Tribolium castaneum: one gene and its partner. The protein of the gene in region 1 purifies or fractionates together with the protein of each later gene. This does not show direct contact. Links are inferred from orthologs where the notes say so. Each region holds a gene or a part of one and is shown in the gene's direction. Other genes may lie near its edges. The genes, in order: PHD finger protein 14 and Hmg-2.

The links.
Region 2: the proteins of PHD finger protein 14 (region 1) and Hmg-2 purify together in Homo sapiens (affinity purification with mass spectrometry; 3 studies listed by BioGRID and IntAct, counting the BioPlex papers as one, with this or other methods). This does not show direct contact. The link is inferred for Tribolium castaneum from reciprocal best matches to the Homo sapiens genes PHF14 and HMG20A.

What each region holds. Positions count from the first base shown.
Region 1 is NC_087400.1:6,362,896-6,367,260, forward strand, and holds the start of PHD finger protein 14, read left to right. Parts: upstream 1-1,274; 5' UTR 1,275-1,516; coding exon 1,517-1,571; intron 1,572-1,633; exon of another isoform or gene 1,634-1,755; coding exon of another isoform or gene 1,756-1,765; intron 1,766-1,910; coding exon 1,911-2,072; intron 2,073-2,125; coding exon 2,126-2,256; intron 2,257-2,444; coding exon 2,445-2,923; intron 2,924-4,365. UniProt on the Homo sapiens protein: Histone-binding protein. Binds preferentially to unmodified histone H3 but can also bind to a lesser extent to histone H3 trimethylated at 'Lys-9' (H3K9me3) as well as to histone H3 monomethylated at 'Lys-27' (H3K27ac) and trimethylated at 'Lys-27' (H3K27me3).
Region 2 is NC_087396.1:21,976,498-21,980,465, forward strand, and holds Hmg-2 (high mobility group protein 20A), read left to right. Parts: upstream 1-1,304; 5' UTR 1,305-1,537; coding exon 1,538-1,727; intron 1,728-1,778; coding exon 1,779-2,041; intron 2,042-2,573; coding exon 2,574-3,032; 3' UTR 3,033-3,258; downstream 3,259-3,968. UniProt on the Homo sapiens protein: Plays a role in neuronal differentiation as chromatin-associated protein. Acts as inhibitor of HMG20B. Overcomes the repressive effects of the neuronal silencer REST and induces the activation of neuronal-specific genes.

The sequences.
Region 1 (4,365 bases):
GTAATTAAAGATTTGTTTTTATGCTGTACGAAACAATCTTTGGCCCCTTTTGACGTAATTATTAATTAATAAATGTCCTGATAACGAAAAAATGTATTTTTCTTAAAATTAGTTTATTATTAAACATTGATTTTTCCTTTTTTTTAATTATGATACGATTCCGCTGAATGTTTAAAAAAAATTCAGTGTATTTTAAGTGTCCTAATATTAAAAAAAACACAACTAACTTATGTTTTCTTAAATGAAACAGTCTATATCTTATTGCATTTTTGGACGTTGCTTTTAATACCGATGATTTTGATCAAAACTTGCTTAAAAAATTATTACAGAAAACTTGGAATCCTAGAAAAGTATAAATTTCATTTTAAAGGAAAAAGTTCAAACTGAAATTTCTAGCAGTTATTTATCGTAATGCAATTAAGAACTTAGAAAATTTAAAAAGTTTGATAAAAGTTGATTAACTTGAAAAAGTTAAATGGAATACACAATTTCTTGTTTTTGCCTTTCAAAGATTATTAAATATTAAACATTATATAAAGTTCTAAACGTCTAATGAGAATAACTAAAAAGGTATTTTACTTTAAAAGTAAATTTTACCGTAATTTAACCATTAGTCAACCATAAAAGTCACAAAAAATTTATTAAATTTTATACTCCACATAAATATTAAAATTTTAGTTATTTCACTGTAAGGAATGACGAATAACAGCCTAGAGATAACATTAAAGTTATTATTAGCTAAAAATTTCACTTGTTGACAGTTGAAACAATAGTTAATCACTTTTTTATGGTTTAAAATTAAATATTTTTTTAAGTAGGTAATCAGAAAAATACACTTAACTGTTAATGTTTTTAGGAAGACAATTTAAAGGTCTTTTAGATGCAAAAATAAAAAGTATGGTGTGCCCAAAAGTGTTCCATTTAAAAAATTTCAGATATTCAACTTAATTACGGAAGTTGAAATTACATTTTTTATCTTTTTGAACTCAAGAATGATCTTTATATAAATATTAATTCTTACTTCTTCATTTTTTATCTTCTAGATTGCAGTAAGTTAAAAAATATATATCCTTTAAGTTCGAACTTTTTTTTTAATTTTCACAGCTATACTGTAAAAACATATCTGATAATAAACAAGTTATGAGGCTTTTTCGGAAAATTGGAACAGCCTGTATAATAAGTTATGCAACGCCTCGAACAATAATGCAGTAAACAGTTGCATAATTCGACCACGTGCCCTTACAATTTTTTTCCAAGTTTAGCGTCATTTTTGAAAAAGCGTGCTAGTCTTATTGTAATTAATCTCTTTGACAAAAACAATTATCATTTTTAATGAACCTAAAAAAATTCTTTGGGCAAAAATTCCCCGAAATTTTCCTTTCAAGTTCGAAGGCCGCCCTGGCAGAACCCCATTATCCTTCCATTTCCCCCCAAAATTCCCCCACCGGAGTCGAAATCGCCACCCGAATTTAAGAAGTACAGCGCCTCAGCTCCCACGAGGGACCTCTTCACCATCATGCCCAACCTCCTGGAGCGTGCCGAAGACATCGATTTCGTCACGAAAACGGCCAGTAAGTCGCCCTCCACCCCCTCATTTAGTAAAATTCACTATAAACTTTCCCGGTCACTTTTCGAAAATCGATAAAGCTCGACGCTCGGAAGCCGGTCGGGTGACGCGCAAAAGTGTGGTTATGGTTGCTTGTCAGTGATAAAAAACGCTTAAATTTATCAACAATCGGGGATTTGGGCCCCGAGATGAGTTCCCGTAGGTGCCAAAGCGGGGCCAGATTGCTCAACGGTGACTTGCACGACCGGAAGTGCTTTTTCGGGGTTGGCAATTTGGCAACGTTTTGATGTTTTTCGTTTTGAAACTAATCAATAATTTTTGCTAATGATGGAATTTTTAACAGTTGAGAGAGACCCGAATAAGAGGAGGGTTAAGCCGGTTGAGACCCAAGCCTCGATTCTGGACTTTGATCTCGAAGAGGAGAGCTCGGATGATTCGGATTTCCGGATTGAAGACCACCCGGAAGTGAGCGATGATGATGACTCCGGGAACAGTGCTTCTGGAGGTAACTCATCACCAATTCCTGACAGCTACAATCATTTTCGGGGGATTTTACAGGTAATGACAGCAGTGGAGAGGAGGAATCAGAAGGATCAGACTTAGACGAATTGAAAAATTTGAATTTGCCCAATGGGGACGGGCTATCCATTGCGGATGTCATCCAACAAGCCAATTTGCAGCTAAGTTCGGTAATTTTAATTTTATTAACTAAAATTAATCACAACGGCCACGGCCGTTAAGTTAGTATTTGTTGCCATAGAAACGGTTACTTAAGTCAAGTTAGACAGTTGACATTTTTCAACGATTACTTAAGTCAAGTTTGACACAAATATAACTATAACTGTCAAAAATAAATTTTGGCCCCCTTTTCCCGCAGTTCAATGAAAAAGACGCCCAAATTTTGATCTGCTGCGGCTGTCTCGGGGACCAAAGCGACGGCGTCAACGAAATCGTCGAATGCGACTCTTGTGGGGTCACTGTCCACGAGGCCTGTTACGGCGTCGCGGACTCCGCCAGTTTGAGCAGCACCGACTCTCTGTCCCCGACAGCCCCCTGGTTTTGCGAGGCGTGCAAAGCCGGCGTGATGAACCCTGTTTGCGAGCTGTGCCCCAATTCGGGGGGCATTTTCAAGGAGACGGACGTCGGGAAGTGGATTCATCTCGTTTGCGCTCTCTATGTTCCTGGAGTGGCATTCGGCGAAGTTGATAAATTGACAAGTGTGACTCTTTTCGAAATGCCTTACAGCAAATGGGGGGCGAAAAGTTGCAGCTTGTGTCAGGATGAGCGCTTTGCCAGGACGGGGGTGTGCATCGGGTGCGATGCCGGCATGTGCAAGACCTACTTCCATGTCACATGGTAAGGTTTTTGCCCCACACTGTATGCTATTCCAATTTTTTTTATTGGTTGGCAACATTGAAAAGCGATATCGTACAGTGTCGCCAACTCTTCACAGTATTTTTTTTTTTATTTATTTGTTTATTAAATGTATTTTTCTTTTTTTTTTCTTCCTTTTTGATTTATTTTAAAATTAATTCACTATTCGTTCTTCAGTATTACATTTGTTTATATTGACTTGACCTGACCTGACATATGTCAAATTGATAATATGTTGGCAAATCTTAAAATTAGTTACTGTTGAAAGCTGGAAAAATTTTAAATGATTTGAAGAAGAAAACTAATAATCTATGCATGTGAATTTTTTTCAGAATTTTTCCACAATTTATTGTAACAAATATATTAATAGATATTATCAGCAGAAACAGTCTTTCTTGTGTCATTTGAGAACAAGTGATATTTAAGTGTTTTTTTGGATAAAAAATCCATATTTTTCGGTTAGGTGTAAATAACATAAAGTTTTATTTTTTTAAATTGGAATCATAGGCGACTGTGATATTTGTGTAATACATTGTTTTTAAATATTAAAAAAAATTTCGCTTTTTTATAGTAGGCTATGAAAAAATTTTTAAATTCTCAGTTAAAACTCTGGAAAATGTATTACCCAACAAGTATTTATAATTTAATGATAAATTATTCTTAGATCAAATTTTTGCGATTAACAAAAATTATTTGTTTTTAAATTTAAAATGGCTAGCTTACATTGTCATTCTAATTTCTTATTAAACATGAAATTTCGGAAAAAGAAAAATTTTATTAATTGTACGATTGCCTGTAAATAAAATTTTATTTTACAAAAAATGTCAATTCAAACGCCAAAATCAAATCCCATCTGCGTTAAAAAAATACATAACATTATCAACGTCACCTCCATAGCACTTCACTAAATCACAAAATAATGTCATCAAATAATAGTGACATCGTTTTCAATTTTTTGCACATTTTTTATGTAATTGAAATCTGCGACCATCGTATATTTATTTAATTTAAAATAACTTTAACATAGCTTATTTTCACATCCGTTCATAAAATATCTAGATTATTCACACCTTTTGTGTGAAATAATTTTTTCATGGCCAACTACATTCAAATATTTGATATATATTTTTATTAAAAGTATATAAAAACATCAAACTGTATTTATATTGTTTTGAGTTCAGAAAAAAATAAGCTTTTCGAAAATGTCATAGCCAACTCTGATTTCTATTAAAAAAATACAACTTTAGGCTATTATAGCTAATCGAATGAATTAGAAAAAAAAAGCTGATAACATTATTAAATTTTCTTTAAAAAATGTTTTTGTTTCAAATGTGTATCTTTTATAATAAGGAAGATATGAATTTTTGAAGATTTCGCCAAACTTTTGCCTATAAGTCGAAAACAAAAAACGATAGCAGGATATG
Region 2 (3,968 bases), on another chromosome or scaffold:
ACTTTATTGTAAAATAAAATTTTCTTTTTCGAGCGTTTTGGTACGTTTTTCAGCCAAGAACGAAATTATTTCCCAACATTTTATGGAAAACAAGATAAAAAGAGCCCAACAATAGTATCTGTTTAAAAGAAAATGCTTTTTAGAAATACTATTGGAAAGATTGAAATCAAAACAGGTAGTCTGGTGAAAATAAATGAAAAATTGGCCACTTTTTTATTAAATTTTAAGGAAAAAAACAGTACAGGTGTTCCACTTATTCATCTGATAAACCTACTTCAAATTTAACACGGACAACTGAACAAATAAACACAAAATTTGAAAAAAAGAAACTGAAGAACGAAACAAAATATGAAGTTAATTAATGATGTTTTTGGAGTTTTTTGCTCCCACGCACAATTGATTCTCTATTGAAACTAGCGTGAAATGTGGGTTTAGATGAGCGTTTTTGTAAACAATTGTTACACCTGTTGATAATCTTCGCGAGTGATTTTAATGTAAAATTGAGAAACCTCTCGCTGACTAATCCCTTTATGCAATATGTTTGCGTTGGTGTTTTCGAAGGCGAAATATTTGCCGCCAAAAGCTGCCGTTTTCCGAAAATAGCCCCTAAAAGTGTTATTTATACCTTTAGGTGTAATTCCGGATGGATGGCTATGGTGCAAGTCCAGGTAGAAAGCCGAAATCGCTCACTTTTCCCGAATCTGCATACCTGCGCCCCTTTATCACAGAGATAAATAATCCGCCAAAGTTGCCTCTACTTTACATAAACCCCCGAGTGGTCGGTGTTCAAGACATTCATTAGCGCATCGGTGTATTTTTAAATGGCACGGGGGTGCCGAAATTAGCGTCAGACTTAAATATACAGATCAATACACATGTCATTCATTTACACATTCATAAATTAATCCAAAATAAATAGCCTTCACAGCAGCTGCCAAAACTCGAGCAGGAAGATAACCTAACTTAACGCCAAGGCCTTGCACACTTACCCGACCACAACCAACACTCTATAATCCATGGGGGCACCCGTGCTTCATACCATCACACAAAAAAAAACAAAAACTGCACAAAGGAGACGAATTTCTACAAAAAACGCGATTTTCAAACACGACAAAAAAACGCCTTGTGACCGACAAACGCCACAAAAAACGCGCTTTTTCCTACTTACAAGCACCCGGAATTTTACTTTCGTAACACAATGCCTCAATAACACAACTTTTTGGAACCTATCGTTTGGTTTCCAAACCCAAAATTTAGGGAGTTTCGAAGTTGGCGACAATGCCAGTCAATTCTGACGTTACCCGCACCCGCCACCTACCAATCGAGCCACAAACCCGGTACAGGAACCTGCAAAATGGCAAAGTAACGCGCGTTTTATTGTTAATTTCGCCCAATTGGCCCGACTTTTAATTGAATTAAATGGGGCGGTTCGGCGCGTTTGGCCCTTTGGAGCGCTCGTGGCCCCCCAAAACAAATGAAACATTGACAGTTACAAACAACTGTCACGTTGGTTAGCATCTTCCCAACCGGACGTAAAATGGAAAACAGCGAGGAAGTGGCTAATGTCCCGCCGGAAAATGGTAAGAAGCCCCCCAAAGCCTCCACGTCCAACGACGAGAAGGCCCCCGACAGCTCCGACAACACGACGCAGCAGAAGCCCAAAGTGGCCAAAGCCAAGAAACGGAAGAAACCGAAAGACAGCACGGCCCCACGGCACCCGCTGACCGGTGAGTGTTTCAGTTCGAGGGGCGTCCAGAGGTGTCTTACGGGGGTTGTAGGGTATGTGCGGTACTTGAATGACAGACGGGAGACCGTGCGGAGCGCCAACCCCACCTTGTCGTTCGCCGAAATCACGAAAATGCTGGCAAATGAATGGACGAATTTGCCGGCGGATAAAAAACAACAGTATTTGGATGCTGCAGAGCAAGACAGGGAGCGGTACACGCGGGAATACAATGCCTATAAGCAGACGGAAGCTTATAAATTATTCACGCAGCAACAGAATGAGAAAAAAATGAAGGAGAGCAAGGAGGAGAGCAAGGTGAGTTGCTAAGGGGGCGCGTGTTGCAGCAAAGACGTGGCGGGCCAAAACCGTACATGCGGCTCGTGTCTTAATAACCATGCAATTACAACTGCATACACTATTTAAAAAAAATACAGTTTTTAAAAATGTCAGTTTTATTTTTAATGTCAGACTACTGTCACTCGTAATAATTGCATCGTGGCACATTGCCATTGGTTACAAGTTGTCACGTGGTTGTCATAATGCACTTCGATTGGTCACAAATTTTGAACGTAATGAAAAATCTGTAGAAGTAGAAAAAAAGTGATATGTAATCACAGAGATTTAACAGGGTGTTCCAAGTCTTTTGGCCCTAGCAAAAATAAGTATTTCTAGTTGATTGAATACACTAAAAACGTCCATAATTTTTTATTAGAAAAAAATTAAACCATATATCTTGAAGATTACAAAAAACTACAAAATTGTATTGTACGGTTTTGGTGATGCGCTTTCTGTTTGTGCCCGCACCCGGTAATTGTCGGAAGGAAGCCCCCGAAATTTCTATTTTCAGAGCTCCGTTCAGCCGGTCATCAACAAGGAAATCCCCGATATGGATTTCGGTAATTTCGACATCCCCATCTTCACGGAGGAGTTTCTCGATCACAACAAAATGCGAGACTCGGAACTGCGCCAGTTGCGTAAATCGAACACAGATTATGAGCAACAAAACGCAATTTTGCAAAAACATATCGAGAATATGAAGGACGCCATTGCCAAGCTCGAGTCTGAAATCTCGCAGCAGGAGAAAAATAACGCGTCTTTGCAAAAACATTTGGATCATTTAAGGGGCACGTTAACCAATGGTTTTTCCGGTGTGAAGCTCCCAGGGGTCAAAGAAGTCGCAACGCAGCAAAATATCGACTCGTACATGACAAATCTGCATTCGATTTTATTGGAGAACAGTAGTCATGACGCGAACCTTTTACATACTGTTAGGAATATTGTCGGGCGGCTTGAGTTCAACGGATGACAAACAAGTCGCGCTTCCAAGAGAAAACGAAAAGTTAAGAAGATCACGTAATTTTTTATATAGCAGTTTTATTTCACTTTCAGAGTGGGTTTTATGATTTGATTAGTTATGATGGTCCTGTGATTCATACGTTAGGTATTGTGTAATTACTACTAAGTATTTAGTAGTTCAATTAATTTAATGTATTTAATATTCCGTCAATAAATTTCGCAAGATATTTATGAAATCTGGTTTTATTTTTACTCCCATCACCAAAAAAAATATTGTAGCTAATTCCTTTGGAAATTGTTCTACTTTAATTATGTTTTAACAGGTAGTAAAAATTTTAAACATTTAATCTCCACAACAAAAAATAGAGCAAAAAATTATTGATTCTTAGATTGCTGACTTTTAATATTTTTTTTCTTCAGTTCTAATTATACATTTTTCTCATTTACATCCAAGGGAAATTGATGAATTATAAAAAAACAACTTTTGATCTCTACTGAGCTGAAAATAATATTTTACGCATTTTTTTAAGCACACTCCTTAAATTTTATTCTGTTTTGTTTAACTGCACGAATATTCAATAAATGCCGCAAGATATTTACGAAATTGTGTTTTATATTTTGTTAAATTGTTACCTCCGACATTATGAATCAATTTTTTGTGCTCCAAAAATAATTTTTCGGGTCAAAACGAAGAAAAATTCGTGTAAAAAATGTTTACGCGGCTCCGTTTAATTAACCCAAAGTGCATTTATGGACACGTTTGATGATTTATATCAGAAGCAGCACTACATGTTTTTGTGTCAAATTAATTGATTGCGTGTAGAAAACAATAATTAAAGTCGAGTTAAAGCGATATTAATATTTCCAACTATTCCATAGTTTGCACTTTCACGCCAAAAATCCTTTGATCGTTAATTAGCCGGGTGCACACATCATACAAGACGCA